2 linked regions of the Styela clava genome follow. The protein of the gene in region 1 purifies or fractionates together with the protein of each later gene. This does not show direct contact. Links are inferred from orthologs where the notes say so. Each region holds a gene or a part of one and is shown on either strand. Other genes may lie near its edges.

Region 1 (17,437 bases):
CAGTCATGGGCGAGCCAAACTTTTCTCCTGCCCGGAGCGAGTTTTTGATAATGATGCCCCTTATACTTCACTTCAAAAATAATTCGGAGGATAAACAAATTATAGTTGTTGTTATATATGAAAGCAAATAAATTGAGGGTCAAGTGAAATGTTTGTATTACTATTATTTAAATCATCAAACTCGCCCCGACAACGGGCTTCCCCTATGCCCCCTCCCAAGCACTGCCTCTATTTTGTCCAGAACTTTTGTACTATTGAGCTCTGCCAACTTCAGGTACGTTGAGAATAGGTTTAGTTGACACCAGTTTCATGACAATGATAACTCTACCTTGTTTTGCTGTATTCAGAAAAAACTAGTCTCGTTAATTTGGTTAGGACTTGAAATCATGAATTCTTAGTTTCCGAGCATTCACAAACTTTTTCTTTCTTATTAATTACCATAATATTTCATCTTTTTTCCTTTTAGTGCAGATGTGATGAACCATGCTTAATATAGTTATTATTGTTACGTTTATTCTGGCTGCAGTATTATCTATAGGTCTTGGAGCTTTGCATCGTTATGTTTCACCACAAACTCCGAACACAAATCCTCAATTTTTAGAGGTGTGTTTCTATCTATGTATTTTGTTGTTATATATAATTATATTGCTTAAAAAAAGTAATGAGGTAAATGTTACAAAATGGTATTTTTGTATGATGTGACACAGTATGTTGTCCGATTACCTAATTTTGTATTTGATAGTTAGTCGTTATGCTAGAGGTGTGAAGGCTGATTTTGTCATGTTTTCATTAGAGCCGAAGTTGTGTTTTCAATTCTCCAGAGGCAAAATGTCGAATTTATCAAAATTTCAGATTTTCAATAATGATAAAAAAAAGTCAAAATTTTCTACAGAAATCTCAAAAAAAAGTTTAACTAGGTTTACAGTTTAATAAGAAAGGTTGTGCTAAAGTTTTTGTTGTCAAAATTTTCCTCAACCAGGAGGTGGGCCATTTTTTTCAATCAGGAGTCAAACTTGATCTTAGATTTCCCCGGTTTTATACATGTGTGGACGTCAATGGTGGAAAAACTCATGACTGGCCACCGATTACATGAACCACCCTGTGGTAGTGAGTCTTGCAATCCTCTCTGCTGAAGGTTCATCTATTATGTATATTATACAACTGTGTTAGGTACTTAACTTTAAAAATTCTTTTTTTTGTAGTTTCAAAGTTTGTACTTCCTGGCATTCTTTCCGGCTTTATTTGCTGACTGGTTAAATGCACCTTACCTCTATAAACTGTACTCACACTATGGATTTTTGGAAGAACAAATTGCCATTATTTATGTCTGTGGGTTGGGATCAGCCCTTGTTTTTGGTACAACTGCAGCGTATTTGGTTGAGCGATACGGTTTTAAAAAAATAAGTCTCGGTGCTGCCGTCACATATTCACTTTCGTGTTTCTTGAAGTTATCTTCAGATTACAGGTGAGAATCTCAATCAAATTAGCTTGAAATATTTATGTATTGATAATGCATTTAAGTTAAAATAAGACCTACCGTGAATATTAAAATTGATTTTAATATAAGCCCTCCTCTTAAAATAAGACGTAGTTGATGGCAAGAAATCTCTCCTACACGTTTTAAATGATTAATATTCTATGTTTAGCAGTTATTTTGAAATAAAAATGTGTTTCTTATAAGTAAATGGAAATCGGTTTTCATATTTGTTTATATTCGAAAATCTTGTAATTCTTTACTCCGTAATTTTGTTTTGATAAATGAAAATAAAAGACATCTCCCCAAAATAAGCCTTAGTGTTGTTTTTTAAAAGAAAATTGAAATAAGACCCAGTCTTATATTCAGGGAAACACTGTAGCTCAGAGAATAAAGCGATTAGTGAATTTTTAAAATTGTCACTGACTTTTGTTATTATTGCTGTTATTGACTTTTCAGTTATCATTAAAAAAATACCTATGGTAAACTCATTTAAGAGAATTATTACGATAAAATTAGGTAGCATTATGTTAAATAGATACCGTAATTCGTAATAAGTGTGTTTATTTTTTCAGCACTCTGGTAATAAGTCGTATATTATCTGGTGCGTCTACAACACTGTTATTTTCTGCACATGAAGGATGGTATGCCAAATCTCATATCAATGTTCACGACTTCCCAAAGGAATGGATTGAAATCACTTCTATGAAATCAGCCTTTGCTAGTTCTCTTATGGCTGCCATCGCAGGGGTTTTTGCATATTTTATGACCGAGGTACATTTTGGTAATTTTTTCTGTTTTGTTGATGAATTGAGTTATAAATACACTTTTGTAAAAGTTTCTATTGTATGAGAATGTGATTTGCAATACTGCTTGAATTATTTGTTATTGAGTATGGTCAAATATTGAAAAGAGTCATCTGACAGAGTTCAAAGAGCGAGATCGAAATAATGATAAGAATAAATATTTAAGAAATATGCTCAAAATAGGGTAATTCGTAGTAAACTAGAAGTTTGAATAGCTACTATCAGTAAATTAAAAGATAATTTAATTCGGAAAAATAATGATACAAATTACACTCTGTCACTGATAAATATGTATTAAAGATGTCTAAATTTTTCTGAAATGATTGGATAAAGCAAATTACTGGCTTGTATATTAATTCATTTCATGATTGTGGTAATTGTTTTCATTTATTGTATAGGATTGAGAATATTTCTTGTGTGTTTCAGTGGTATGGTTTCGGCCCCGTTGCTCCATCTTTACTTGCTGTACCATTTCTTGGTATAAGTGCGTTTATTACGTTTTCAAAATGGAAGACGCCGGATCGGTCATCACAATCAACTGAAGGTCTCATAGAGCCTTCATTACCTGTTAAACCATCAGGAAAGAATACGAAATTCGTAAAAGCTTGTTGTGAGGGATTACAGAATATTGTGCGAGTAAGTGCTCGATTAACATGACATGAGTTGCCCATGATGATTATTTGCAATTACCAAGTACATTTTATGGTTTGAACCACTCTACAACTGTGAGAAGTCCAGCTATCCTCTTACACATTATTATCTCCCACAGGATTCAAGCCCATGCAGGTTAATTAGAGATGCGATGGCAAGTGTATTCTTGGCACTTTTTACGATGTGCCATTCAACTGAGCCATAAAAATAACTGGTTTTAAAAGACTCCATTCCGTAAATTGTCAAATTGTGTACCTGTGGAGTGTACACCCGCATTTATCAAAGTATTGATAGCTGTGAATTCTGGTATAACTTTCTGGAAACAAATGATTCCAACACACCACTGATTTGATCTAATTTGATTTGAAGCTCAATTAAATCATTTAGTCATGACTATTTCTAATTAATATCAAAACATGCTGCAGGATGATGTTACCTATTTCTGCATATGAAAAGTATTTTATTTGCACCACTCAAATAACTAAATAAAAATTTTAAATTTAATACATTCTGTCCTCTTACAGCAAAACCCTTTGATTATTGTGAATTGTCCTTATTTTCTATTTCTCTAGAATCCAGATCTGTTGGTGCTTGGTTGTGTTCAGTCTTTATTCGAAAGCGTTCTCTGTTTGTTTGTATTCTTATGGACACCAGTACTCGATCATCACCATCCACCACTTGGAATCGTATTTGCAACATTTATGTGTGCGACTCTTTGTGGAGGAGTAGCTCACAAGTATGTCTCACATTAATTTGATGTTAGTGTAGATTTGAGTGTTGCTGAAATAAGTTTTCATTTATTATTTCAGTTCTTTACTTGTTATTTGGTTTGGTTAGTTGGTGGTGTTTCCAGGTGTTGAACAATATTTAATTTCAAGATTGTTCTTCTGCATGTCAGCCGACAAATTTTATTGACCATTTCTAAATCAGATAAGTGAAGGAACTTGAAAATCTCTTTGGTGTTGCACATTCCGAATGCATGGTGACCATAGACCATGCTGTCGTAACCTTGTCTGCTAGTAGTCTTCATTTAATCTGTACTTCCTCCTAACCATCAGTTGGATAGTCAGTGGTGTCAAGGCAGGGATATTACTAACGCCCAACCTAACTGCTAAATCGAGACACCAATTTTGAACATAATTAAAATTAGAGTTAATAACACACTATTCATGGATTGCAATAATTACTTCTCATTTATTTTATGTTTGTTTTGACAGAATTCTGGTGACTGCAGTGAAATTGTCTTCAGCTGTCACTCTCACTGGTGCAATGTCAGTTGCTTGTATTGCCACTCTTGGATGTGTACTATCAACTAGTCCAACAAATGAATTCCCAATAATATCCTACATATGCTTTTTATTATTTGAATTGTCAGTTGGTGTATATTTTCCATCAATGTCAGAATTGAAAAGATTGGTAAGTATAGCTTAATAATATCGAATCTCTTAGCCAAGTATTTTGCTCTTAGAGACTAGAGAGTATCACTTAGTTCATGAGTCATATTTGAATATTCATTTAACTTTTAGGTACATTAGAATTTTCTTTTATCAACCCGTCTTCTGGCTAAGAACACAGTACTGCTTGGTTAATCACACAGGTCTATTCGTGACAATGTTTTTATTTACTGTTTACCCATTCATAACTGGCTCCAAATACTCATCCATGTGAATAATCACTGCTTATTATCAGAATACCGGTCAGGTTTTTAAGTACAATAATTTGGCGTTATGTAATGTTGCAGAAACATGGATGTGATCAGTGTCGGAGCCAGTTAATCTTCTTTCTGCAATGATCTCTTAATCATATCAATTTTTTAGCATCAGGCATTGTTATTTTATTTCTATGTGCCTAGGTGAAACCTGAATTACAAAATTTCGCTGTGACTGCTTGGTTCCGGGTTCCTTTGAATTTGTTTGCTTGTTTTGGTCTCATTATGTTACACCATAGCACCAATGCCAGTGGAACAAGAAAATTATTCTTGGCTTGTTTTTTCATGGTTGCAATAGCAGCAGTATTTTCTTTGCGATTGTTAAGGTAAGTTATTGCATAATTATTGGTTATGGTTGAATTTCAATATATATTATAGGTTGTATATTCGCTTTTCGGACATTGTATTTCTGGCTAGTGAATGCAGGAACTTATGGGAGGAAGTTATATTGTAACTGTCGTTGCATGGATCCTGATGACTCAATGACTGTGGAAACGAAGGCATGCTTTTTAACGGTATTGGTGTCGAAATCGGGGAGCTATTTCATGATCTCTCTAGTTGGGGAGTCTGAAGGCCCAGTAGAATTTAAAATCCTTGTTAGTCAGAATTCAGAATTTGATTCCAGACGAATTAAAAAAGGAATTAATTTTACTATACGATAGACAACCAAAGGTCCTAGTTGTTAAAATATTGTTTTCTTTAAGTTTAGACCAGGAGTCTAAAATTCCATCAACCTGAAGTGTCTGAGCTGGAATTTAATTCAATGTAAATATTTCTTTTGGCCACCGCATGCTTTATACTTGCATTTACATTGCTCATTTTATAACTTCATTTGCATTGCTAGGACGTCTAAATCGAAGAATATGAAGGATTCTGTAGATTTAGTAATGGAAGCAACATGAATATAATATAAATACGTACCTGCGCTACAGACGATTCGAAGGCAATGCTTGTTGAGGCAAGGGAATGCAGAAAATTGAATCTATGTCGATTGTTACTGAAGAAAAAAGTCTATAATGTGGATTATTTTATATATACCGTATGTTATACACTATGTCCATTCTGATGCAATAAATTCTTATTACTTTTATTCAAATTACAACATGGAGTATTGGCTGAATTGCAACCTTTTCTTTTTTGTAAGAAAGTAAATCGGATAGACAGATTAACGAATAGAGCAAGCATTAGGAGTTCAAAGCAAACTGCCCGCGCGTCGCCCCGTCTGTCATGGGATACGAATCCACTCGAGAGCAGGGGTGCACGCATGCCCAAGGTGGCATGCCATAAGACTTAGCGTGACACGCGGTCCGTTTGGTGAAAATTGCATTTATTTCTACTAAATCACGTTTATATCGAAAGAAGCTAAATCGCCATGTTTATTCACACAAACGTGAATATACCTTCACGAAAACTATTCAAAACGCTTTCAAGTTCTGAAGACGCAAATGAAATTGTTTCAAAGAAAAATCCTATTTATGATAAATTCTAAGGAGGACCTAAACTAAAGTATGCGCACCAAGATGGCGCACAACCTGAACTCCGGTTGTGTACCAGGTTAGGGTTCAGGTTATGCGACATCTTGGTGCGCATACTTCAGGAGTACCAATTTTTAATAACTCGCGTTTATGTCGAAATAAACGAAATCCCCGTGTATACTCACACAAATGCGTTGGGACTTTAGTGAATACTTTTCGAAACGCTTTCAAGGGCTTAAACAGGGGTCGGCAACTTTTTGTCGCTCGCGGGCCAAAATTAAGGGTTGCAAGTCATTGGCGGGCCGCACATATTTGTGAAAGTTTAAAACCGAACGGATGATACTTCTTATTATAAAAATCAAGCAGTGATACATCTCTAGAATAGAATATAGATTTATTGCATTTAGCATCAACTTTTATTCGTTTAGTTGCCATTTGTCTAATTATATTATAGGCTCATTAAGCGAGTATTTGTCAATTTTATACTTGTGAGATTATAATATAATTTATTCTACACGTGTCTCGCACAATAAATTCTGTTACACAGAGAATATAATCGTCAAAAACGGCTGTTTTGTTAACATAATTCAGTGAAACGTCGCGGGCCGGATTATATTACTCCGCGGGCCGTAGGTTGCCGACCCCTGGCTTAGATGGTCGGAGGACGCAAATTCGTTTCAAAGAACATTCAGTGTGGATGTTGAATATATTAACGACGCTGACACTCGACTGGCTGGAACTTATGAGTTAGGGTTTAGTTCAAACGAAATTTTACACGACTGTTTTTCAGCAAAATTCATTACTTGAGTTTGACTTTCGCCTTGAAGAAGTATCCAGTTTTGTTGAGAAATGAAAAAATATGAATTTGTCAACCAGGCATTTTTAATCGTGAAAAAAGCAAAGCTTAGCTGCAGACTCTGTTAACCCTTCTACAGCCGGAACGCCCATATGGGTGTACTTTTAAAAAAATTGTAAAATTTATGTACTTATAGAGTATATCGCTCTTAGCTGTTTATCGACGTAATGAGAGAAGCGATAAAACCTTCCAGCCGTGACGCAAAGTGCGAATCCTATAAATATCCTGGATTTCAAAATCACCTGTCAGACGTCTGAAAAATGTGACTCCCTTCAGACAGGAAATACTCCTTTATAACGACTTATTATTGTTTTAGCATGTATTTTCAGTCATACTAACTATCCCTGACCATCCCTGGCGCTGTGTTGTTTTGATAAATATGATTTCGAATGCTCCATAGTTGGCAGAGGTATGGAGATTTTTTGTATGTAAAAAAAACGTAAAATTAATGGTAATTTTAACGCGTAAATGCGCGTATGAGATTGGTTACGCCGTTCTACGCGCATTTCCGTCGAAAAAATTTAATTTTTTTGCATTGGGGGTGGTCTGTGCAGTAATAATAAGAGCTGTGACGTCATCAGTATCGGTAATTTGACCTTGAACTTGACAATACTGTAAATACAATTGTGAATTTCAGAGTGATAACCATTTATGCTATAATAGTCGTTTTGGTATTGTTATGTTAGGAAAAACTTGACGAAAACGTTGAAGAAAAAATTAATTAATTAGGAATTAATTATTAACCCTCTACTGTACACAGAATATCTCAAAGTCCAATTTTTTTTTTAGAAATTTTTGAAATTTTTTTGCAAAAATTTTTTTCGAGGGGTGTGTTTTAAAGATATATTGCTGAATAGAACTCTAGCAGACGCTTTTAAAAACCCATGAATAAAGCTTTAGGGATTAATGGTTGACATAAAAAAATAAGTTTAAAAATACCCATAAAATGGGCAGGGCTTGAGGCTTAAAAAGGGTTAACTGATTAAGATTCGGTGATGCGCATCACTATTTCTCGTTTGAAGACCAACATTTCAAATTTGGTCCACCAAAAACGTTTTCGAAAAAGTAGTTTTTTTCAGGGCGTTGAACGGTTTCAGTAAATAATTATTTGTTTGCGTTTTACAGAAGTGCATTTCACCGTAACTTCAATAATGTTAAAAAGCGTCAGTTCCTAAATGTTTCAAGTAGCATTTCATCAAAACTTCAATACTGTTAAAAAGCGTCAGTCGTTAAATATTTAAATTGCATTTCACCGTAACTTCAATATTGCTAAAACAAGTCAGTCGGTATATACTGTCAGATTTAGGTACACGAATGTTCCATGCTATATGTTAATTACGTAAAACGGTTGACTGTGAATATAATGAAATAATTACCAGCAATCCATAAAGAAGGAGGGCGGGATGGAAATGCCTTCCCGGTGGTTGTCCACCATTAAATCAAATCATCTAACAGAAGTAATTTTGTTTATTTATTTTTTTATTGCAAAATAATTTTAAATCTTCTAACCGATAGGTGGTGGTGGTTTTATTGCGCTAGACCAGTGGTTCCCAAACTGGGGTCCGTAAAGCACTTTCGGAGGGTCCGCGAAACAAATCCATAATATGGCTAATAGGCTGATAATACAAAAATTAAGTGTCTAAATTTGCAAATACACATTTGTCGCCTTTTGCTGTTTTGCAATCACCGCTGGAGACACTGATTCCTCACCTTTTGTTTCGATCACGCTGCCCCATTTTGATATCACAGCGAGAGTTCGGTTCATGCCCCCACAAGCTTACTGACTGCATGGCTGTAGCTGACGCCGCCCTTTTGCTGGACTGGATGTCACACATGTCATTGGAGTTGTGCTTTATATAATTTTATTCGTTTCACTATACGGCGCATTGATTTTCTGTTGTGATCTTTTAATGTTTTATTTTAGCGCACAAGGCCGGATATCATTAAAAAAAATTCAAGGGGTCAGTCATGGAATTTTTTTCAAAAAGTTCGGGAACCACTGCGCTAGACTTACCAGCTTTGATGGCATCGCAATTCGCAAGTTACACATCTCGGGTTAGAATCCTATCGCTCATCGTAGGCAATGACAATGGAAAGTTCCAGTCCTCCCAAATTGAAGTGTTTATTTATCAATCATCATTTTTTTGTCAAGACAATATAAATATATCCCGGTAACGAACTCTTGCGCAACCCGGTGTCCGTTTACTACTGCGTTCCACTCCACTATAAGCAACCATATTTATTGGACACGAAATGTACATAAATATATATATGAACCATTTGGTTATTATGTTGTTGTTCTTGTTGGTATTTTTCTTATTGTTTTTATGGAAAACCCGCTTTTCTCATCAACTATTGGACCAATTGCTTTGAAATTTTCAGTGATTAAAGATTGTATTTCGAAGACCCCTTTCCTTTGATGCCCTTAGCACGTGCCTATTTCGATTAATGGTTAATCTAGCCTTGAGTGTAGCTGTGTGACTCCCAGCATAAAGAAACAAAAAAGTATAGGACTCGGTGACAAATTAAGATGTTTGGGAAGTACTCCTTACTATTGGCATATTTTTAAATCTAAAATAACCATCAATGTAAACCACCTGCTAGAGGCGCTGTGTAATGTTAAGAAACATGTTATATATATATTGAAGAGTGGAATAAAAAATACTACATCCATAAAATACTCAAATATTATTTATGATAAAAATGTTATCAATTGGGAACTTATTTAAAGAACTTATTTAAATTCATTTTTTCAAGTGTAATATTATTTATGCGATAAAACGTAGAATGTTATAAAAAATCAATCAATCATCATTTATTTATCAACACACTATAAGCATAAACATTACAAATATCAAAAGAGAAATAACTTAAATTGTGCGACAGCAGTCGTGCAAAATCTGAAAAGTGAATAAAACATAAATATCACACACGTTCACCTACCAAAAACAAAACAAGCACAAAACCTAAGGAAATCTATATACTGTATACATATTTGAGATCGAAATCAGATACCCCCGAAAATAAAATAGCTGACAGATGGTACCGAACCGCAAAGTGGCGTTAGATACTCAAAATTTTCGGGATTATGGTTTTGGGAGAAAATACTTTCCCTGGGCGAGGTTTATCTGTATTTGGTATCGACTGTGGTTGGAAAAAGTGAGTAATGTCTGCTTGTAATTCACCAGTCAGTCAGTATATGTTTTGTTGATTTTCTCCTTTGCGTTTGTCGATTCAGAGTCGGCTGATACTAAGTACAAGTTATGGTGAAGCGAAGGGTTCAATAACTGAAAAGAACCCTTGTTTCAATAGCCGAAAAGCAAAGTCAATGTCAGCTTGTCTGTTTGTCGTAACGGTATCTCATACATTCAGACATTGGAATGCAGATTTCTGATATTTTTAGGTTGGAGCTACCGTGTTTCCCCGAAAATAATACTTACGGTACCCTGGAAATAAGACCTAGTTAGCATGAATTTTTAAAATGATTTTAATAGTCAATAAAGCAAAATTATTTTTAACCAGCAAGAAATCTTTCATACTCGTTTTAAAGGATTAATAATCTATGTTTAGCAGTTATTTTAAATAAAAACTTGTTATTTATTTGTAAATGGATATCGTTTTTCATATTTTGTATATTTGAAAATTTAGTAATTCTCTAAATGAAAATAGGAGACATTCCCCCAAAGTAAGCCCTAGTGTTATTTTTCGAAAGAAAATTGAAATAATAAACTGTCTTATTTTCGGGGAAAGACTGTAAAATAACTGTTTTAGCCTAGATGTTAATGATTATATTAATCAGTTTCTAAGATCTGTAGTTACTAAGTTAAGAACTCTTGTGAAAGTCATTTTTGACTTTGGTGTCCAAAGTAGTCTGGTAGTCTAAAAAAGCACCCACATCTTCAGATTTTAGTTTAACTATTTAAGCAAGCAGTCTGTTTTGATCATATTGATGTTTGAATTCTGTAATGTGGTGAACATAATGGTTAACGTTAACATTTTTTATATTTATACATACTGTTTTTTATTTTGAGTTTAGATTTTGCATATAATTTCATTCTATATTCAAATTTTGACAGATTTCTACATACTGTGTTTTTTTATATTATTTTATAAATAGAAAATCATAAAAATTCATTACTAGCGAAGATGCGTCTTCTCTTTTCTTTTTGTCTTCTGCTTGTTTTATTATTTGAGTATGGAAATGGTAAGTGTTTAAATTAGCATATTACTGTTTTAGCGCCTAGTTTATACAGTTGTTATGTGAGTGGAGGTCATATGAATGCTTACTATATATTTTATCATTCTGTCAATCAAGATATTTATAGTATTAATGACCACAATCAATAAACAGACATCTAAATATATTTGTTTAGGGAAACTGGACTTTATTTTTGACTCAGATGCTTGTTAATGATATTTGCATTTCTCACTTTACATTATTTTTTATCCAAATAGTATTTAAAATAGTATGACTTTTATTTTGCATATCTGAGTTTTAATTACATTCATTCAGTACATTCATTTAAAAATAATACAGTTCTTCTATATTTCAAGGTGACAACCCATGTGTAGATAAGAATGCAAAATCATGCAGTGAGTGCATGCAAGTTGCTGGATGTGGATGGTGTGAACAACCTGTAAGTCTTGAATAATAACAATTAAAAAACTTCCATTCAATAAGTATGTAGATTTTGAGTCAAACAATAACTTTGATGATAATGTTACCTAATTTCCAATTTCATCTTTCATCGAAATTGTCTCGTAGATATTGAATAAAAAAGAACAGTTCAATTCAGGAAGTAGCCTACAGAAGTACTTGAAATGGAAATTACTTCCTGGATTATCTAATGTGACTCAGTATTGTATTGATGGAACTAAAATGTTTGTAAACAATATCATAAAACGTTGAGAATGAAATATGGTAGAACATAGCTCATAATATGATCATATCATATGGAAAACCCCAACCTGTTCATTTAATTACCAGTTTTCAGTTTGGTAATGGTATGCTAGTGCTAGTCTGATATATTAGTTTGTGACCTATCCTACACATAAAGCATAGATTTAAACCAGGGGTTCCCAAACTTTATTAGTCGCGGGCCAAAGTTAGAATCGGAGGGATGTTCGCGGGCCGGAAGAGTGTGGCGCCCAGAAGTGCGCGACGGTTTAGCTGGGGTTCACCACGGCTGTTATGTATCCAAAAATGTCTGTTTTCGGAGTCTAGTTTTCCTTTGTGTCTTGACATCTCTTTCTTATATGGTTCGTAACTAAATTACTGCCCTATGTAATCCCAATACGAATAATTGAGCTACCGCTATAATGTAATTGTTACGATAATCAGGTGCCTCAACTGTGATAATGGTGTAACACTTGGCGCTATCTGGAACGCAAAATAGCAGAAACAAAATCTTTTGCACACTATTTCACTTGAGCTCGGCGGGCCTTTTTTGATCGTTAAGCGGGCCGGTTTTGGCCCCCGGGCCGCGGTTTGGGAACCCCTGATTTAAACTTATAACGATTCTTTGGATTTTCTATTTATTTTTTGTTATATTCCAGGAATATGCAAACAACCCCAATCTTGTTATATCGAGATGCGATTTACCAAAAAATTTAAAGGCTGGAAAATGTCCTGATGAATTCATATTGAATCCACCATCGTCTGTGAACAATACAGGTGGGTTATTTATTATATTAAATCTAGTAAAACCACACTTAGATTATTCTGTCATTCTTTTTATAAGCGATTTAGTTTGTGGATCATTTTCGAAGCTTCAAGGCCGCGGATGTACAAAATTGGTCGAGTATGTTCGAAATTCATTATTCTGCTCCCCAGTGATTTGGTCATCATGGCCTAAAAGACCTTCATTTGTTTTTTGTAAACTCTCAAAAAAAGCTTATCGATCAAATTACAGGTGCAACAACACAAATTATCAAATTTTATCTTAATTAAATTCCATGCTTTTCCAAAAAAAACTAATTGAATATACATGACCTCTATATGTTCTTTGTTGAGGATGGCCCAATTTAGAATAGATTCAATATTCTTCGATGGTTGAAAAGAATATTTTAGTATCGAGATGTATTTTTTGATGTAGCCAACCTTGCTGAAAAGGTTATAGAATTTTAATATGTGAGACACCACCTAAATGCGAGTTATGTCAGAGTGCCAAGCGATGAAGCATGTATAAAGAAGAGTATTCGAATAAAAAAGATTATTGCTACGTCATGATAGCTTTTTTGTTCTGGGAGGACGTGCAGATGTCTTTGTTTGCCTTGTTTTTGTAAATATTTTTCTCAACATATTTTCATTTTACATTAAAGTTGATGACCCACATTCATCAGTTGGAAGCTCAGATGTTGGGAAGGCAACACAACTCAAACCACAAAAGATTGATGCCAAATTGAGGCCAGGTAGTTATTTTGACAATTCTTCAATTTTTTCAGCATTTTTACGAGTTTATATGTTCCAAAGCTCTGCGATACAAGTTGTTATTTTCCTTGCAGAGTCTAGCTGATGCATGCATATAATGAATTTTTGTATCATTATGACCATAAAATTCACAGTTACCACTATATTATTTATCAAATGTTGCCTGCAAAGCTACAATATATTATTATACTCATGTATTTATGAAAGTTATTTGTATGGTGATTATATATCCCATACAAACATATCTCAATAGTTTACTACAGAATTTTTATGGCCAAATATTTTTATGTATGCCTTCATATATTTCCACCTCTCATTCAAGTCTCATTCAATATTTTGTTACATTGTTTTGCCGTAAACTGCGCGTCTTCGAAAGTCTGACTTTGATAAGATGAAATGTTACAGAATAACTTTATTAAAATGTAATACAAGGCATTGCACCACTAATATATAAACATTAGATGATTTTCAATTCTCCTGACATTTTGGACATTCAAACTGAATCATGAACTGAAGTTTAGATATCATTAACGGACTAGCAGGCACTATTAGTGAAAGCAAATGTATATAAATTGTGTTTTATATTCTGGTACCTTCTGGAAGAAAAACCCTTAACTGTTCGAAATTTTTCACCAAAAATGCAATTTTTCCAACAGGATCTCCTGCTCAAATCCAAATATCTTACAAACAAGCTGAAGATTATCCAGTGGATTTGTATTATCTTCTCGATTTATCAAACTCCATGAAAGATGATTTAGATTCACTCAGAGAACTTGGAAAAGAATTGGGAGATAGAATGTCTTCTATTACAAGGGATTTCAGACTCGGTTTTGGATCGTTTGTCGATAAGACAGTAATGCCTTATATTTCCATGGTGCCAAAAAGGTTATTTTTTTTTAATAAACTTCACTTAGAATGTATCTTTTTGCATAAATAGACTAATTTTCTCAAATATTTGTCGGAATTTCATGTTGATTATCCGGTATTACATATTGTACAATATACAGCCCTACAAATCGTAACACGCCATACGAGTTGTCTCTGTTGGAATCAAGTTAGCATAATGACATTTCGTTTGAGTACGATCAGAGTTATTTTTAATATACCGGTAATATAAATTTTTAGTGTGATCAGATATTTTCAAATTGAAGAAAATCAAATTTTGACAACGAAAACTTTTATATATGCGTGAATAATTTTATTTATCATCTTAAAAGTCCGATTTTCCTACTCCTGTCTCTAAATATAGCGAAGTATGGAATGGCCGCACCGGCTCCGTTTACAAAATTAATGGAAACGAGCCATACCCCAAAGCTCTGGTTGATATGCAACTTTAATACATAATTAAAAGACAGAATAAAATGTTCCCATTCTTCAAAAATCAAAACAAGGCTGAAATTTATTGTTTTATTCATACCAGAAAGAAATCTATAGCACCTGGGCTTGGCTAAGTGCTAAGGCATATTATTATTACTGCTGGTGTAACGGTTTCCTTTTTGTAATATGTGGTTAGAGTTGTCTAGAGTTACTTTCTGTAAAAAAGGAGTCGAAGAATAAACAGTCAATTTATTATACTGTTGTTGATTAAAGAACTGTATTAATTCTCTCTAGTGCCGCAAATACTTTCATTAATATTATCCTGTAACATTTTGTCTGACCAAAGTCAAAATTCCACAGACAAAAAGTTTTGTTACTGTTTATTACTTAATTGTAGTCCAGAGCTCTGTTAGGAGTGAAAAACATTTCACAAAAAGAATTATAGTAATCGTTCTTTAGCACTAACTAATTATTGGATCTCCGCTCCAGGAGACCTTTTATTCTCAGTCGTTCTGTCTGTCTGTTTGTTTAGCTGTAGCGGCTGAACTGCTTGGCCGATCTAGTGAAATTTTTCATGTGGGGTATACTGTCACCCTAGTAATGTGTGTTTCACCTAAAGTCCGAATTGGTGTTTCGTTTCCATGGCATCAGCAACAAAACGCGATCGCTGAGAAATTTATAGTTATTTCACAATTTGTTCCCATTATTTTGTAAATTACCTCAAACTAAAATTCTGAAATTGTTATCTTCATGCTGAAGTAAATACACAAGCCGATTTCCATCTTGGTAATCCATAAACTCAAGGAGTTTTACGAAAGTTAGTGAACATGATCAAATATAAGCCGCAGTATACCACTCACACAAGGATACCAAAGAGATGCGCAGCGCTCGCAGTTTTGATATTCTGGTCACTGCAGTACGCTGTCATTTTAGGTGCAATATTGCGGGGATGATAATAGTTCAGTGAACTGCGGGCCGCCTCATGTATCAGTGGACATCCTGGGCGCCTACCGGCTTGTATTAGATAAAAAATTGATGAAATATTTTTCTTCACAGACGTCTTAATCCATGTACTGATAATAAACCTTGCCAACCTACATACACGTTCAGCAATGAATTACCACTCACTAAGGATATTGATGAATTCGTGAGATCTGTCAAATCTGTCAATCATTCCTCTAATCTGGATTCTCCAGAAGGAGGCTTTGATGCTATGATGCAAGCTATTGTTTGTGAGGTGAGATGATTTAATATTGTATTGGAATTCAGGGTGTAAGGAGAATTTAGTTTTGATAATTGTGTGATACATTTATACGAATGTGTTTCAATCTCGAATTTGTGTGAATTAAATTTTCAAGTGTCTCTGTTTTATATATCAAGGGACTATTCATAATTTGCTCTTTAATAATATTATTTGAAATGCTTTTATTCACAGACGTGCAAAATGAATCAAATTCTGTGCCCACTGCCTTACCCAGAGTGTCTTGCATTTTACTAGATATATTGATGGAAATTATAGTGAATAAACTTGAAAAGAATTCAAAAATGCCCTTTTGGGAATTGATACATCATCTGAGTTGTTACTCTTGTGGTTTATAATTGATTTATAGATCGCCATGAAGTCATATGTTATTTTGTAATTGACTGTGGTTGATTTCCTGTTGGCAGATATCATACAGTTTTCTAATTTGGCTTGGTGTCGTGTTAAACATTGGAAATTTACATGGTATTATACCAGTGTTTCCCAACCCGAGTCCGCGGTCTCAAATGAGTCCGCGAAACATTTGAATGAGTCCGCAACCAGAAATTCACTGCGAGCCGCAAGCGTTTTTGCAAAAGTTAACTATCAGCCAAGTTACGATTTACGTTAAAATTCACATAAAACATAAAAAGCAAGTTTATTCACATAACATTAATCAAGTCATTTAGTACTAGTTACTGAGTATGACTGGGCATATATTCGAATATTCAACTATTAGAAATAGCAATTCACTATTCAAAAATTTGGTAACAGGTGACGCGACAGGTCAAAACGATTGGATTTCACAACTCACTTGCGAATTTCCGACAAAAACCCGAGCACACGCGTGGTGTTTCTCGCGAGTTCGAACAACGAGAAATAATTTTTTTAGTAGGCGTCAAGGGTGGCAACCCAAATTTTCTAAATTAAAAAGCGGCAATACAAAAAACTGAAAATAAAACGGAGAACACCATAACTTTTGTTTTATGATTGTACGCGACCGATTAAAAACACTTCTTTAGACATTGCAAATCGCAAAATTTCGGTGGATACTGTAGTATATGTACCAGGGCATTTTCCCTTAGACCTCCACATTGGTACGTACAGTACTGGAGCGCCGTAAGTATTGTACGAACAGCTCAGATTTGTTGAATTCACAAAAATACGAATCAAAACAAAATATAATTGGGCACATTACCACGCTTTTTTGTGTCCACGGATTGTCATGATATTTTTTTTTGATCAGTATTGCTTTTATTTCGTCCACACAACCGCAGATTAAAATGATCACCATTAAATTAATAATAAAGCAAGGTTGTATTTTTGATTTACAAATATACTTCAAATATATTTTTAATAAGTACTAAATCAAGTTGTACTTTCTGGAAATTATAGCAGATAGTAGGATTTTTCTAACGACGATAACAAATTTGCAAGATCTCTAAGAATATGTATCAAAACTAAATACGAGAATATCGAT
Region 2 (17,723 bases), on another chromosome or scaffold:
CCTGCGTAATGCAAAATCAATTTTTTAATGTACTGATTGAAATAAATTGTAGTCTTTGATATTTTATAGCAGATCTAGGGATTTCTCGGACGGTCCTATAAATAGCTTCTGATAGATACAGTCACTGATGCAAGAACATCATAATTGTAAAACTAATTCGTAACATCGCAAAAATATGAATCAAAACTAAGTATAATCGGGCACTTGGAAACACTTTTTATGGCCGTGAATGTGATGTGATATTTCATCATAGTAATGTTCTCAATTTGTGGGCGCAGCCGCAAAATAAATGTGTATTTAATTTATAAAAAAATAATAAATAGACTCCTATGGTCGCCAATGAAATACTTTGCACAACTGCAAAATCGCTAACCGACAACATAACATACCAGTAAAAAAAACATTAATTGTCGAAAAAGTGGGCTCTTTTCACGAGTGGCCTGCCTAATTGGGTCGACAGTTGCATAAAAATTTTAGGATTCGTTATGATTTACCCTTTCCCCCAATGATAATATCAACCTACGCATTATCGAATCTTTCTTCATGACATTTTGTGTCGCGTTAATATGCAAAATTCTGGTTGATAATGCCTCAGAAAGTATTCCGGGATCCTTTGTATAAAGATTCTTTATAAAAAACCACCGCCTCCGCTCCAAAATTAAATGTAAATTATGAATATTTCAATTACATTTTTAGGGTGGGTGGAGGCTAAGAATCCAGGTTGCGTCGGAAATTCAAAACCTCAAATCATTCCTAACCCGAACCACAACTGGATAGTTACTAATTTGTTATTTCAGGACGTAGTTTTTTTTTGACAGCGATGGAGGCTTTGTACAAAAGATCCGTATTTCGCAGGCCTTCGGATACAAAATTGTAAACGAATCCCTCTAATCACGATTAACTGATTTATAAAACGTAGGCATTTTTTCGACATTTACCATTGTTTTAATCATTGAGCAGAAGTTATAAATTTTTTATTACTTTCAAATATAACGTCTATCGTGCACAAAAATATCACATTTTCATAAAGTGAGATTACTCCTTCTCTATTAAACCGTATGCGTTTGCCGATAAGAGAGCGTAACTATGCTACGACAATGGTCATTTTGATCTATTGTTAGAGGTATCGATAATCCAAAAAAATGTGTTGGAAATAGTGTTGTTGCCAGTAATATGAATACGGTAACACTTGCGATCCCGTTCTCTCTGTACAGTTCTTGGAGGTTTGTTACTTTACGCCAAACATACACTGAATTGCCTGAATGCTTCGTGGGCCGCACGAAAGTCCTTGGCGGGCCGCATGCGGCCCGCGGGCCGCAGGTTTGTCACCTCTGGTCTAGAAACACTACAAGGCATGGGTGGCCAACACGTCGATCGCGATCGACTATAGTCGATCGCCACGTCTCGAGTGGTCGATCGCGTCTGATGCTGAGTGAATTTCAAATTTACCTCAATAAATTGTCTTGAACCAATTTAATGTAGCGCATGTTGTGTGTTTCAAAACAGAACAAATACAGTACTGAGCATGAGAAAAATACAGTATACACATATAGCCTGAACATATTATTACGCAACAAACGAGGTGCTGCCGCTGCTAAGGTTTGTAATTGAACTTGCCGAATATCAAGTGTCTTGACTGAGAAACGATCATACAATAACTTCTGCAGTTTGCGGCGGTTATTGTCACACTCCAAAAGAAGTGTGGTGAAGTGTATTTGCAACGGTAGCAATGGCATCAGAATACTCATTTTTTTTTCTTATTCCAATTGAGCGAATGATCGGACTTGGTGGAAATTTTAAATTAGATATACTGAAGTTTGAGCAGTCTTGTAACATTTATGGTTGGAGAATATTTATTTTTCGCTGCCTAAATAATAAATGGATACTTTGCAAGGTCTTTTGAGGAATTTTGAACACTTACAACTAAAATTAGGTAGACCTTACATGTGAACTGTATGATTCGAATAAATTCTAAATAAATGATGAAAAATTACTCTAGCTACAATTAAATAATCAGATTAACAAATTAAAAATAAAAATTTCAATGGCGATTTTAGTAAAAATGCGCCCACAGCGCCGAGTTTATTTATTGGCAGTGGTGGAATTTTTTGTATGCATGTGTGCAGTTATCTGCATATTCAGTACTCATTCGTTTTTATGTATTTCCTTATTACCGATCAGTCGATCACGAGCTATTTTGAAGATTTTAGTCGATCGCGGTCGAAAGCAGGTTGGCCACCCCTACTATAAGGTAATAAACCCTAATTGCATTCGTTTCTTAGCTTTCGATATCCATAATATAATTATTTCATCTTTTGTAAGAGAAAAGTCGATCGTACCATGATAATTCAAGAAAAACCTCCAGTTTCCCCATTGTTCGTATGTCGTCACTGAGAGAACTGAAATTGAGCCTGGAATCTCCAATCAGTATCATTGACTTGGTATGTTTACTTTTATTTGAGTATTTGAAGCACGCAAAAATTTAATCATAAATAAAACTTACACGAATTAATCCAACTTTTACTATCGAGCTAGTTAGTAATTAATGAAATTCTCAATGAAATCGGGCGGATCTGGTTATAGTTTTTGTATCTGCTACGGTTTCCTTTTGTCTCAAATTTTGTTTGAGTTCCCAATGGTTTATAGGAAGACTGGCATCTTCTCTTTGACAATGTAAGACAAATGAACTTTACCCTCTTTCCAACACTGTCCATAAAACCTTCTTTTCCTATTCCCCTTGATGTCACCGGTGAAAAACAAAAATAAACGTGCAAAAAATAATATACATTCGATTTACTGTAAGTCATTTTGCCACCGTGACTCGAGAGTAATCCACTAGTGAATAGTAAAATGTATGTACAAAACCCAGTGGGCCTATTTTTAGTATATGATTTCGTAAAATCGTCTGTGCTTTTGCTTTGCCGCTCCAAATTAGCGCCGGACAATGTGGTTGGTCACATTGTATACTAGTTCTGTACCGCTGGTATACATTGTCTCAATTTTACTTTGCAGTATGTGCTTGCAATTGTCAACCGTGATTTCGTTACATATTTAATTATGTTCGAGTTTAATTTTGAATGATATATAATAAAGCAGGGGTGTCAAACTCGTGGGTTATCGAGGGCCGCATTGCATTTTGGGAATTGCGCAAAGGGCCGCAAACAGTTTTTGATATATTTTGGTAATATAGCATATATATTTTTAGATAGGTGTAATTTGTGACATATATTGTGATGCAGTTAAACAGTCGAATGCAGTTTTGTTATTTTCTGAAATTACCAAATTCCATTTACATATTAATTTTATCATTTCACTATTATTGCAATTTACTGTATTTATTACAAAAAATCATGTGCTTTAGAATTTTGAGAAATGCAGGAATATTGCAACTTCCATTTTTTTAAATGCCACCTTTGGGATGGACTTTGCGTTTCATTTTAATACCTGTTTTTATTTTCAAGTATTCTTTTGCTAGCTTGAGGTGTAGGCCTATCTATATTTGGGTCAAATTGAAAACAAAAAAAAATTAATTTTCCAAAATTACTTTCAGTAACTTGTTGTTTTTTGTGTGAATAATCAATTTTACTTCGAAAGGTTTAAAAAATGTATTACATTTGGATAAAAAAAAACTTACAAAATATTACAATTATTGTTAAAACCCTTTATATGCGTTGGTCCCAATCGACTTTTTATACCTCTTTTATAATATGACATAAATAGTTAATCAAACACGCTAGTACATTTCCCAATATATCTTTAAAAAGCTTATTTAATCAAACACGCTAGTACATTTCCCAATATATCTTTAAAAAGCTTATTTTCCAAATTACGTAGCGCAAATGCGTCCGACCTTATGCCGGTAAGAAGAGAGAAATTTCAAAAAATTTCGAGAAAAAGTTTCTTACTTTTAACGCTGTGGTCAACACGTGATTGATATGCGAGAGAAAGAGTTTTCTTTTGGACGAGTTTTACCTCACCTTCAAAATAAAACAAGAGTGGGATTTTGAAGTGAAGTGATATTCGTTTTATCGAAGAGCATTTGATTTTCTGATTTGGAAAATTTCTGATCCGTACATACCAGAAAAAACAAAAAAAAAAAAAAATTGATCGCGTGCTGTCTGGTATCTTTGTTTGTTTATTATGAGCCGGAGAACGTTGCTCGCGCGTTTAAAATACTTCGTTTTCAACTAGCAACAGATTCTTTGTTTATTTTTAAGCTTTGAAATATTCATACAAATAAAATTGACCTTGTAGCAAAATAAAAATTATACATAAAAAAAATATGATGACGTCACCGTAATTAAGAACAGCCGGATCAAGCATGGATAATTTAAACTCAAACATTTTAAGTTTTGAAATTGGTTTTGTTCACACGCAGACCACTATGAAATACTATTGTTCCCCCAAAATACATTTAATTTAGCCATAATCCCAAATTATGACACAGGGAACCCCTTTATGACCAGGCCGATCCTATAGAGTGCGTTCGAGGGCCGCATCGGAAGTTCTCTGGGGCCGCAAGTTTGACACCCCTGTAATAAAAGATATAAAATTCCAACGGTTATTAATGTACATTGATCACTTCTCATACCTTGGACTCCATCGCCGAATCGACCATCCCCTCCATCGAATTGGTTTATCCTTATTTTAATGTAGACTGGTTACGAAAATATTGTTACAATTTTTCATTTGAAAACCCTAATATCTTGGGAAACGCAGGTCTAGTAAGATTAGCCGTTGATTTTCCATAAACATTGAAATGCACCGTTTTAATTAATTTTTAGGTCATACTGTTCGCATTTTTATGTGCTATGTAAATATTGCTCTTGTCCGTATATGTACGGGAGACGAGAGGTACTATCTATTGTACCACAAATACGAATAAACGTGTACACAAACAAAAGTTGGGCATGTATGATCCTAATTGTTCTAACATCCCATACTGGATTCATATGCATAAAACATATTTAGACTACGGCTCAGATTTTGACTTCAGCGTTCTCAATGTTCCCCATATCTTGAAGCAAACGGTTCTACATAAAAAAAATATATATATATATTTGAAGTAGCCTCAGGGTATTATCATCTTTCAGTAAATAATGACTATATAATAATTAAATATGAATTTCATAATCAAATAAAATCAAACTTCCTAGACAAGCATATTCAATCTACTATATAACTATTGCTCGTTAGGGGTATGATTGTTTAAAGACAAAATATTTAAATATTTCATTATCTCTAGGCGGTACCTGACACATCAAATCAAAGGTCATATTCTCCTACGCCATCCAAACTGAAGAAGTAAGGACATCTTGAATCCGTTTGCATATCATGTCAGAAAATCCTGCTTTAAATTATGTCAAAACGATGAATTTATTGCCTAACGACATTCTATGCAAACTTATATATATTTCTTTTTAAACTTCACTGTCTTTTTCCTTATATCTCGTGCATTTTAGGAACAGAAGACCAGCTCTTCATGACACCATCAAGCTTCTCATTCTGCTAACGTTTTCCTTGTTTCTCTCCATCACTCCTCTCATATGCGTCGTGTTTTTTGATGTCGTTTTTGCAGATATTGGTGAGTACAACGAAGGTTTTCGATGTGTTGCTCACTCACTTCTCAACTTTTAAATTTAAAAATTTTGTGAATGTGAAATTGATTGGAAAGGTTACATTTAGTTTCACAAATATAAACGGGCATAGCAAAAGTGCCATTTCATTCTTCTAATTTTTGTACGGTTACATCATTTGCCATTGAAACTGATCGCTCATTAAAACCAGTTTGAGTTTGATGCTACTTTTGTAAGGGTGTTCAAAAGCATATAAGTCGCCAAAAATTGTTGCCTTGATCAGAAATCAACGTAGGCACGATATATTAATGCTAAAACAGTCCACATATTGAAATACAATCGTGAATCCAAATTATTGTTATTGAAGACTTAGACATTGGTCGTGAAAGCACCCTTGAAAGTCTACTTATTAGTGATATTATAGATGGTAATGTTCACGAGATAGGTTTATGACTGCTTTATATTTTACAGTCCTTCGACCTGACGCAGTTTTGGTTACCTCTTCAATGACGTGTATGCATGCCACAAGTCTCCCATTTATTTTGTTGAGATATATGAGCGGCTTGCGAACTGCGTGTCATAATATTTTATTAAAATGTCCATGCCTTCATACAACGATAATCATGAAAAGACCTAGTACCTCAACAGCAATCAATAAATCGCCAACAAACGTAATACGATCCGCGACACCGTCTAGAAAATCTAGAGCGACGATCGTTGCATGTGAAGTGCCGACTGTTCCCGAAATAGAGTCAAAAGACGACGAAACTAGTGAAGAGACTGTCACTGAAGCTGTAAATTGTACATTAGATCCACAAAAAATTCTTTCTGAGAATTCTCCTCCAGAATCAGATAACAGAAAACCAACATTTGAAAAATACGAAACTGTTGTGGATCTTTCTAAATACGATTTATATGATAATTTTGCAAACAAAACAATTGAAGATATAGTGGGAAACATCAGTAAGCAGTAAAGTAATGAAAATCAATGAAAAGTATATATGTAGCTCGTTTAGATTGTAGTTTTCTAACTGGTGTCCATTCAAATAGTTTTATCATATTGCTAGATCATGTGTATATTTGACATATGAAGGAAAATCATGAACCTTTTTTATTGTTTCCATCGAAATGCTAATGAATTCTTTTCATTTTTTTTGCGGGGTGGGGGAGTCCTGTCATGTAGCTGTGTGATTGCTCTTCTTGGGGTGAACTCAAAATTTGTTTTACAAAATACCATATGAAATAAACATGTTATATATTATATTCAATAATAAGGTCCTGGGGTAGGCTACATTACCATTGGTGACATTAATTCAGATTCTCATTCCAACAATACGGCTATATTTTAGGGATGGAAATGACCGATTGTTATAAATTGTATTATATATGTATTTGCTATTTTAACAATAAAACGTTGAAAGCTGTGGCTGTATTTTGATATATATCAATTATCAAAGTTGTAGATTGTCCAAAAGTCAGATTAGAAGATCAAGGATAAACAGAATGAAATTTCAAATTTGTGTCTTCTGGCATGAAATTTTCACGTAAGTTGGCTATTTATTGGTGGCTTCTAGATTCTCTCTGCACAAGGCTCCATACGAGCAGTCTTTGAAAGGACCATAGTAATTCACTAAATAATTTTGTTAACTATGGTGTTGCATCTGGAGTAAAGTAAACCACTGATTGAAGAGAGTTTCATCCTGGGATTCTATAATCCTCAACGCGACTATACCTCCCAATATCTTGTGTAGTTCCCCAGGGATCAATTCTGGGTCATTTACTTTTTATAATCTACCTCAATGATTTTATAAACTGTTATATATTATTGTGATATATATATATATATCATGTAACACTGCTGGGTGACGCTATTTACCGTACTGTTTTGATTTCTCCGAGGCTGACATTCTTCTCTAAACGTATTTGGCTTGCTACTTAGTCTGCAACTGCTATGATATCTCACTTTTGAAGTGCTTGACTCTTACAAATGTTGTAATCGAAACTTGGTGCTTGATTATAAAAAACTAAAGACAAAATAACGACACCTGTATTGCATAAAGTTACCACAGTGCTAATATTCCCCGAATTGTCTTCAACGATGAGACAGGTAAAGCGAAAACAAAATAAACTGACTATAAATTATATTAAATTGATTTATATGCTCCCTAACAAAAATATAAGTCGACCTTTCCATATATGTTCGGTGGTAAAATGCTAACTGGAATGCCATGCATGAAATATCTTGGTATATATAATTATTAAAAATAAGTTTAAATGATATTTTCATATAGCATAACTAACAGTTGGGGTTACGTGAAACTAACTACCGTTCCTTGCTCTATGCCTTTGCGCAGGTGGATTCGTATGCGTAGAACGCAAGGATGCTGTAGCAAGAGCATGTTATCAAGGGTGACGGGAATTATGTTCAAACTTAGGCACTGCTTGACATTGCGTGCTTTGAAAATAATTTATCGTTCATTATTTCATTCTCGGCATCTTAAGTTGGGTAGTTGTTGTGAGTTTGCCAAAAAATGAAGAATTTTGGGACCTCCAGAAATATGCGCACCAAGATGGCGCACAACCTGAACATAGTATGTGTGTACCGGTTAGGATTCAGGTTGTGCGACATCTTGGTGCGCATACTTCTGGAGCACCGAATTTTGTATAAATCAATTTAATTTGACCTTTTCTCGCCTTAAAAAAGTTTTCAGCTTTAGTATAGCTATACCGTGCGCGTTTGTCTGCGAGCTCATATATAGCAAGTTATTCGCGCCCTATAATGTGTAAACGATAAAGAACCGTAATCGAGCATCGCCCCAAGACTATGAAGTAGCCGATCCCATCGAATCCACGGAGTGAAGTGATGAAGCGATGAATGAATAGATGCAGCTTCTTTTTTGACTTTATCGTGGCGTTATGAACGGTCTGTGCATTTTGCTGGTTTCCGCCATTTTCCAGTATGTTTTCAATTGATCCCAGTGTCAAGAGACAAAAACAATCATATCAACACCTATACTTTTACACAGTATATTCAAGTTGAAAATCTTCAATTACCATAACTTTATTTTGCAGTTAGAGTATATTTGTATTCAGATAGAATCAATTATTGCCGATTGGCCATAACCATGCCCTGTTTATTGAGGTTGCACATTCTCAAAAGTTGCAAGTGGCATCAAATGTATCCGAAGATTTTGAATTGGTTAAGAAATCATTTTACAGCGATACATGGTACTAATTCTAATAATTATCTGATAAATCGATGTTAAATTTCTGTTCATAAAGTACTTAGATCAGTTATCTTTTTCATCACAACGATTCTTTCTTATTTTGAGATAACTGATTTTGATCTATTCTGTTATCCCAATAGTTTCTATAGTGTTTGATGAATAAATGTATTAAATAATTTTATATGCGTTAACGATATATATATATATATATACATGAATGGCTTTGTTCTGACACATTTTGTTGTTATTACAACATTATATAATAAGCAAAGATTTCTGAAGTCAAGGGCACTTGACTAAACCGGAGTTTCTCTATTAACAGCACGATCCGATCAACCACGATCTAGAGCAAAAATCGCATATTCAAGAGCTTGTTTCCTCTTGTTCATGAATGATACAATGTTGCAAATATCATTACCTTTTATTCATGATCATGGGACCCTTGTATTATTGATCGACGATGTTATGTTTTTATAATATTGGTGATAACATTCGGGTATGGCAGAGAACAAGTCATTTGTAGAAGTTTTATTCTTCTCACATTTAGGTAGATGCAGTGTGGAGTGATCGACTAGAAAGTTGGAAATAGTTGGGAATTCATTAATACTAAAGTTTTATATACTTGAAGAAGATGATATTTATATCATTATTTTCTAAGCAAAATCGCGTGTTTTAGATTATATCCGGATGCGCCTAGCCTATCTCACGTTAACTTGTAAAACCATAAATGAGCAAGTTACCGTGTATTTTGATTAAACTGACAGTTTCACTTTGTCAAAATAATTTTTTTTATATTAATTAACAAATGTATGGTTGTACCATGTTAGGGTTTTATACTGAGGAAATGATTCGATACAACTCCGAGTAAAAGCTGCCAATATTCCCATTTGCATGCAATTATAAAAACTCGAAAATTTAAAAACTCAAGCCTAAGCTGCATTTTAGTGTCGTGGTACTTTAGTCGTCGATACTCAAGTTTTCGATCAACAATACAAATCGAGTGAAGAGCAATTAAGTTGTATGTGTATATTCTGAAAATGGCGAGCGAGATCTAGTTTGGATTTGAAGATAGCGGTTATGTCTAATCAATGCCTGAAGCCTATTAAACCAAAGACAACGCGGCTGGCAAAATCTGCATCATTATTATTCCCTTCTCGGAGCATAGCACTTCTATAAATATCTTAATAGTCTTCTTCATTGTATTCAAATGAGAATACACACAAATATTCTCGCATTAGCAATTTTTCATGTGCCTTGAGCCTACGTGTTTTCCCTTGCATTATGACTAGCATGTTTAGTTATTGTGCCAATACCATTGAATACGCTGTATGTAAATTGCTTACGACTCCATTGTGCATTCATAATATCCTCGAAAGCAAAATGATTGTGATAAACAAGTCTAGCGTCTGGCTTATATTCAGGTGGTTAAGTGATATGAGAAAATTGGAGGGAATAAAATGAGATGTGTTGTTGCCGGTCATACATCACGACGGTACACGCATGTAACGTACATTGCCTGCACATATGTTGTTATTTCAAGACATGGGGTCCATAAACAAGCACATATCATTATAAATGCACATTGCAGTCTGGATTGTGGTCTAGCACGTAAGTTCTGTGGCGGATGCTAAATTTTATATTAATCTGAAGTGTGAGGAATGATAAGCCTTCCTACAGTTAGCCATGGATTCGTTATGGATAATCATATTGTTTCTACGTTTTTGACAGCTTGGAAGAAAGCTATTTTCCACTTTACTATATATTTTGTGTCCTTTGTTATTGAATTAACGCTTCGAACATGTCTGGTGCTCGTCTAAATGGTCACAATTCATAGTAAGACTAAGCATGACAATAGATATCATCATTAACATGATTAACAGGGAAATTATATGCTCGAAGAGGAACCCATTCAAGTCACGAAGTAGGCAAATGCCGGTCTATTCAACAGCACAATATGGTCGTTTCTATTGAGCGAGAGCCTTGTAATGAGCGTGATTTCCGCTTCTTATTTCTGCCTGCAGTGTATCTAACCTATTCAACCTTCTATTTTATTTTTTGGTTACAGCAGGGTACTTGTATTTATCAAGTTTTTTGGTAGAAAGGAAAAAGACGTAGAATACAAGATGGATTGTGGAATGAAACTCATCAAGTATCTGCTTTTTGCATTCAATTTGGTGTTTTTCATCATTGCGTTAGTGCTGATCGGTGTCGGGGCTGCCGTCGAAATTAAATATCGAGATTTGGTGCAAATTACTGGCTCTACTATTTCATCCGCACCAATTTTGCTGATATGTGTTGGCGTGTTCATCATGATAATTGCATTCTTCGGATGCTGTGGGGCGTACAAGGAAAACTACTGCATGGTGACAACATTTATGGTCTCACTTCTGGTTATCTTCATCCTCGAAATGTCAGCTGGAATCGCGGCATTTGCTTTGAGAAACCGAATTGAAATTTGGATAAAGAAATCAGTGCAAGACGCCATAAGCAAATACACGCCTAAGATGAAGCCAGTTTTTGGAGTCGTGCAGGAAAAATTCAAATGTTGTGGCGCAGTTTCGTCTGTGGATTGGGAAACGAGTACCGGTTTTCAAGCAGAAGCAAAAGCCCGAATGACCCAAGCAGGAATTTCTAGTAACAATGGAACAAAAATTGTGCCAGACAGCTGCTGTATTACTCCGAAGAAAGATTGTGGATTGAAATCAGGGCACCTTATTTACACTGGAGCCAAAAATGGATGCGTTGAGAAGATTGAAGCCTTCATAAAGCGAAATGCTGGCGTGATAGGTGGCGTTGGTATCGGTATTGCATTTATACAGATCGTCGGCATTATATTCGCATGCTGTCTCATGCGTACGATAAAGAAAGAGTACGAACACGTTGCTTAGGACTAGAATATTCAATCGAACAAGTTTTACTTTTATGTTGTGTAATTAAATTAACCCATTGATTTCGAACCACAGCTTCACAGCTAAATTTCAGGACAGTTAAGTTTTATCATGACACAAACTATAAGTTTATATTTCTTCTTAATTACAACCTACTGGGTGTTTAGAAGTTCATTTTTCAGACAAGTGTGTGTTTATAGTAAAACCTGGCAAAAAGGCCGCCATGTATTTAACATGATATTAAGCTACAAGCTTCAGAGACACATATGCCAATCTTGATACTACTTTTTACGTGTGGTTTGGTGAAATCTACTTCAAAGATTGTGATATTTTCTACTACGTATTTTTCCATTACAATATTTTCTTGAAATATTCTAGGCAGCCGGTATCCATACACAATTTCTCACGTGAATAATATTATATATGTATGATAAAGTGCGTTACTGACTACCTGATTTTAGGTGAATGAATTTCAGAATGGCTTCAAAAATAATCTCACAAAATATACATAAAATACTTACTTTACAAATTTTGAAGTCTGTACCACGTACAAAAATCTGACAAATAATAGTTGATATATATCACTGGAACCAGGATACTTTTATCGCTAATTCATGATAAATAATGTTGCATCCAAGGCATGCGATCATATAACTTTCCTGTGTGAATGATAAACACTAGTCTTTTGAATAGATGATTATCATATATTATTCAATTAAACGGGCTTAAAGCATGTAACACAATTGTATTCTTTCATTATATCCATATTGCTCAATTTTTCTTTATCTAGCATATCGAATTATCTGCGACAATATACTGTATCATGCATGATAGAGCATTTCAACAATTGGCGGATGTTGTAATTTAAATTAAAATCTGGTTGAAACGATGCCCGGGCCACTCAAGATCGAACTAAAATAATTTTGAAATTGCAAATAATTACGAAAATTTAATCTGATTTATCGGGTATAAGAAAATACACACCTCAATAAAATGTGAAGTTGGATGGATGCTATTTCACTTGTTATGCAGAAATACAAAATCAAATTCTGGTTATATTTTGTGCGTTTAAGAGAAGCTAAACGTTACTGTATTTGAATGATACGTGAATGAAAGATATTTTTTTTTGTAACTGTAGTTGTATTTACTCCTTTAGGTTTTCGATATTATATTTAAAAAATTTTATCGGAAAACGGAAATTACACCGAATCCTTTAATTTCGCAAGTTCTAAGTAATTCCGCCTACTGCCCTTTATGTGAACTCAAAATTATAGATATTTTCCTGTTTAATTACTGACAAATTAAATAAGTGTAAAGAATTGCGAGATTGCAAGTTTTATTGCACCAATTGAGTAATAATTCATTCTTATGTAGAACGGAAGTTTTCGTAATATTATTTGAGCGGTGTTCCATATACATTCATCTCAAGTCTAGGCAAAAGTAATATCGACTTTCAAGAAATAGATGCATTTGGTCTAGTCTGCTCTCACAATCACACGTATATGTTTAGCAGAGTATCAATTTGCAAACTTATTTTTTGTTACTATGTTTACATTGTATTATTCAGACATAGATAATAACATATTATGGTTATACATTTATTTGAAACAGAACATAACTGCAGATATTATATGCACTATATCGTTTCTTAGTTATTTGTAGATCAATATTCAAAAATGGGGGGGGGGGGGGGGGGGGTATCCCATTTGAAAAATAGCTGACTTTTCCATTAATCTGTTTGTCCAGCAGAAATTGTATATTGATTGAAAATGTAATTGAATTGAATTCATTTGTGATCGCAATAGAAAACCCATCCAAATAAAAGCTAATAATGTGCATATTTTAGACTGCCATACCAATAGATTTTTATTTTCTGACCATTGGCTTAAATAAACGGTAGATCAAAATCTGACATGGATAGTTTGACGTTTGAACCGGCTGATGATAATGGCTCACGAGAGGCTGTGAATACTGTATTTGCAAAATATATCAATTTACAATAACATAATGATATTCTGCTAAACTGATGTTTATAACTGCATTTGTTAATTCATTATGTTGGACATTTAATTTGTAATAAAGTGGCTATATGTGTAAACTATTGAATTTATTTAAGTGGCATGCTTGGCGAGAGTAAAAAGTTTGCATATTGAAGTATAAGTTACTGCTCCAAGCTGAGTGTGTGAAGTATTGTTGCCACACTTGAATCGATTCTCTCGCGACAGTTTTGCCGACGAGGTTTTTGTCGGTTTTACATGATTTTTGCAATTTTTGCATGGTTTTAAAAGATACAAAAAATATGATATCTTCAAATCTGGCATTCTATGACATTGACGAAATGTAGAATCGAAAATGTAAAAGTTTATCTGACAGACATTACATATGACTCATCTCGTAAAAATGTTTCATTTTCGTTATTCGCAAAAGAGTTTTTTTTTCCCGATTCGTATATTAATAATTAGTTTTTGCCTGAATGCAAAATATTATATCTATAAGTTTTGCTTTAAGGAATTTCCTTCCTTTTTAAATCTCACATTGTTGACTTCAATTGTTCAATCAGAATCGGCTGATATCACTGGCGCGGGTAATAACCTGAATATACATATTAGTCGCCTGCTTGTCTAATATCAATAAGTAGTTGTGGGCAAATATTTTCTTGTTTGAAAAACAAGAACTCAAGTAAAAATGCTTCAATGGTACTGGTACGGTAATAATTTCCAACAATTTCACGATCATTTTTGTTGGTCGATAATTTTCAGTGGGTGTGATGTACAGGGTGTTCATGAAGACCTAAATTTTTAAAATCTAAATGGCTCTATCGATACCATGATTTTAGAGTTTGTTTGCTCCTACGGGTGTATTAAATGAGGTAAAAAAACTGAAAAACTCTGTTTAAAATGAAACAAAATTGATTAAGATATATTGAGAACTGACTTCATAACAAAATTGAAATTGTTTAGTTGAGTTTTATTTACCAATAATAATTCATAGGCTTCGAGAATACTGAATACTTTTCTGTAACTTGATTTTCCGTCTGACATTTGACTAATTATTTAAGATATTCCATGAATAGAATTTTCTGAATCCAATTTTCTCACTTGAACGCATTTCTCTATAGTAGGGGTGTGCAACGTTTTTGTCCGTGGGTCATATAATCAACTTCAGACACCGGAAAGATAACGACCGATATATTTAGGAAAAAGACACATACAAATAGCTATCTGAATTTTAATTCTAACCACCCGATCGCGTCCACTACCATCCCATATGTTAAAGTACTTAGTGAAAAAAGTCGAAGAATTTTAGAAGACGTAAGGAGCAAAGTTAGTTTCAAACCCCAAAACACAATAGGCCAATTGCTTTCTAATGTCCAAGAGCGCCCATGCCCTAACAAGAAAAACGGCGTGGTATATGTAACCCCATGCAGTGATTGCTTCTCTATTTACATTGGAGAAACGAAACGAAGTCTCGAAACTCGGAGAAAGAAACATCAGCGAGCTGTAAAACAAAACAAATTCGAAAAATCGGCTCTCTCGAGACATGCCCTTTCTACAGATCACAGCATTGATAGAGAAAACAGCAGGACATTAGAAAATGAAATCACTACAGGAAAAGACTATGTCTGGAAATCATATCACATTAACAAAGAGAAAAATTCAATGAACGATAAAGAAACTGCATTGTTTCCTCATATTTGTTCGAACTTGCGCCAATTCACTCTATTATCATATTGTCCCCTGTTTCAATTTTTTCACGCCGTGTTCATTTTTAAATTTTGTTTTTGTGCTCTCTATATATATACGATAGTGTACTCTTCATATCATGCCCTGATGAAGTTTTCTGAATAGAAATTCGAAACGTCGGCAAATTATATCGTTTTGCTATACACCGGTTGTGCTTGACTTATCTTATACCTGGTGCTGGCAATCATGTGCCATGTGTTTCATATATTGTTAAAAACTTGAAATACAATACCGAGGTGGTATTTCTTTTTAATTGCCACTGCATAGATAAATTTAGTACTTTAATACTCACATATACGTTCCGAAGAATTTGTAAACCACAATGACGAGGTTATTATAATAATCTATATTATTTTGATCCTTTGATTGGTAACTTCCTAAAATGCGCTTTCATCGACAAGGTATGATTAAAAATATTGTAGGGATAAAAAGGGGAAATAAGGTATGATCAACTAAATCTGACCGTAAGCAATTTCAATGGTGGTAAATAAAATTGAAAAAATTATTGTTCTTCACGAAGCAATGGTTCAGGACAACTCCTAATACTTGCGAAAATAAAATTGATTTATTTTATAAAAGTCCGACTACACTAGACATTCTAATACGTCGTGAGTGAGGTGGTTGGCATGAGATTTGAAAACGAGAACTTTTGAACTTACATAACATTACAACAAGAGAGCGATGCTCAAATATATGGACGAAGTCCGAAACTATAAGTAAATGGGGGTCTTGTAAACGTAACAATTTGTCGTAGATTAGATCGTATATGAGAGGATTAACCGTAAATATCCCTCTTGATATTTTGATATAACACACTGTGTTTCAAATTTCGTGAAAATTGGGCATTTTCAAAATGTTAGCCTTTTTTACAAAATATAATTTTATAAAAGGATATATAATCAACTCAGTTTGATATGCTGAATTTTTTTGAAAAAATATTCCATTGTTCTCATCAGGCTTTGATACAAATTATCTTATTTTTATAGACGGAATACGTAATGAATTAAAAATTATTGGAGACACCCACGCAATGGTTCTGTGCTTGCATACCTGTGATAATATCAACAGATAAACATGATCATTATCCCCTTTTTTGTCAAATCGTACCAGTTACCAATTAGAGCGACTAGCAACGCAAAATTTACTCGGTAAAATGTCGGAAATCTCATACAGATGCAAAAAACACGCAGCATAGGAGTTATTTATTGTAACAGCTGTACTGAATTTATTTTGATAAAATACATTCATAAAAAGTTGTTCAATAACACATTAAAGTAATTAATCGTGCTAATCGGTATTTAGTAATCATTTCAAAGTATTGTTTATCATCACTTAATCTGCTTGTTATGCGTGAGTTAAATAATAATTCAAGGAACCAAGAGAACAACAAAAGTAACAGCAGCGCAAAGTACGACATTTGTTTCATAACGCCACTTATAATTTGAGTCAATTTTTGGATATCTGAAACCATAGATTTGTCGCTAATAAACACGCCAACTTCTTGTTGTTGTGAAAAACTTATTTCCTCTTTAACTACGGGACCAAATGCTTTGAAATGTTCTATGGTTCAAGATTATTGTTTCAGCTAGAACGTCATTCCTTTTATTTATATCAGAAATTTCAGTTGGATTATACCACAAGGCATCAGAAATAGGAGTGGAAAGTTATTCATTTTCAAGCAAATAAAAATTCAAATATCATGTTTATATGACTTATCAAATTTTAGGTTTCAAGATATTCTTTATAAGAAATTACTTGAAATTACTTAAAACAAATGAATGAAGGATTAGTCTGACTCTCTTAAATAACGAGAGTAATTTGAAATACAAATTATATGCTATTGTTTCTCACACGTTTTTGAGATTTTCTGCTCTTAAATGAGCTTCAGTTTAAATAGGTAAATCAGTTTACAACGACTACATAAGCTTTGAGAAAAAAATTTTCCGCTTATCAAAATTCTTGCTTATCGTGCGAGATTTCGCACTAACAAAGTACAGTTTTATTGCTTAAAATTGATTTCCGGAAAAGATTAAACGCATTTCAAATCTGTTTACATTACTCAAATTCTCCGTATCAATGCAAGAGTCGTTACTAACTATAAGTTTCATAAAAAGAATTGGACAATTAATATGTGATATTGCCTAAAGGCCAAAGGCACAAAACTAATGAGAAACTGCAATTTTATTAAAAATATATGCAGTATTTGAGGCTGTTAAAAATTAATTTTATTCACAATTATGCAACGGTGTTTTCTATATTTAACAAAAGTTTACTTCAAAGCAAAAATAT

The links.
Region 2: the proteins of integrin beta-1-B-like (region 1) and CD63 antigen-like purify together in Homo sapiens (affinity purification with western blotting; 3 studies listed by BioGRID and IntAct, with this or other methods). This does not show direct contact. The link is inferred for Styela clava from reciprocal best matches to the Homo sapiens genes ITGB1 and CD63.

What each region holds. Positions count from the first base shown.
Region 1 is NC_135261.1:8,760,919-8,778,355, forward strand, and holds the start of integrin beta-1-B-like, read left to right. Parts: upstream 1-11,025; 5' UTR 11,026-11,116; coding exon 11,117-11,174; intron 11,175-11,524; coding exon 11,525-11,607; intron 11,608-12,526; coding exon 12,527-12,644; intron 12,645-13,291; coding exon 13,292-13,381; intron 13,382-14,056; coding exon 14,057-14,285; intron 14,286-15,773; coding exon 15,774-15,954; intron 15,955-17,437. Other genes in the region: molybdate-anion transporter-like, read left to right, coding at 484-603, 1,203-1,465, 2,050-2,248, 2,707-2,916, 3,504-3,667, 4,149-4,347, 4,784-4,965, 5,484-5,541.
Region 2 is NC_135262.1:14,371,951-14,389,673, reverse strand, and holds CD63 antigen-like, read left to right. Parts: upstream 1-10,843; 5' UTR 10,844-10,926; coding exon 10,927-11,691; 3' UTR 11,692-13,789; downstream 13,790-17,723. Other genes in the region: uncharacterized protein LOC120332935, read left to right, coding at 2,323-2,441, 5,246-5,304, 5,463-5,584, 6,048-6,550. UniProt on the Homo sapiens protein: Functions as a cell surface receptor for TIMP1 and plays a role in the activation of cellular signaling cascades. Plays a role in the activation of ITGB1 and integrin signaling, leading to the activation of AKT, FAK/PTK2 and MAP kinases.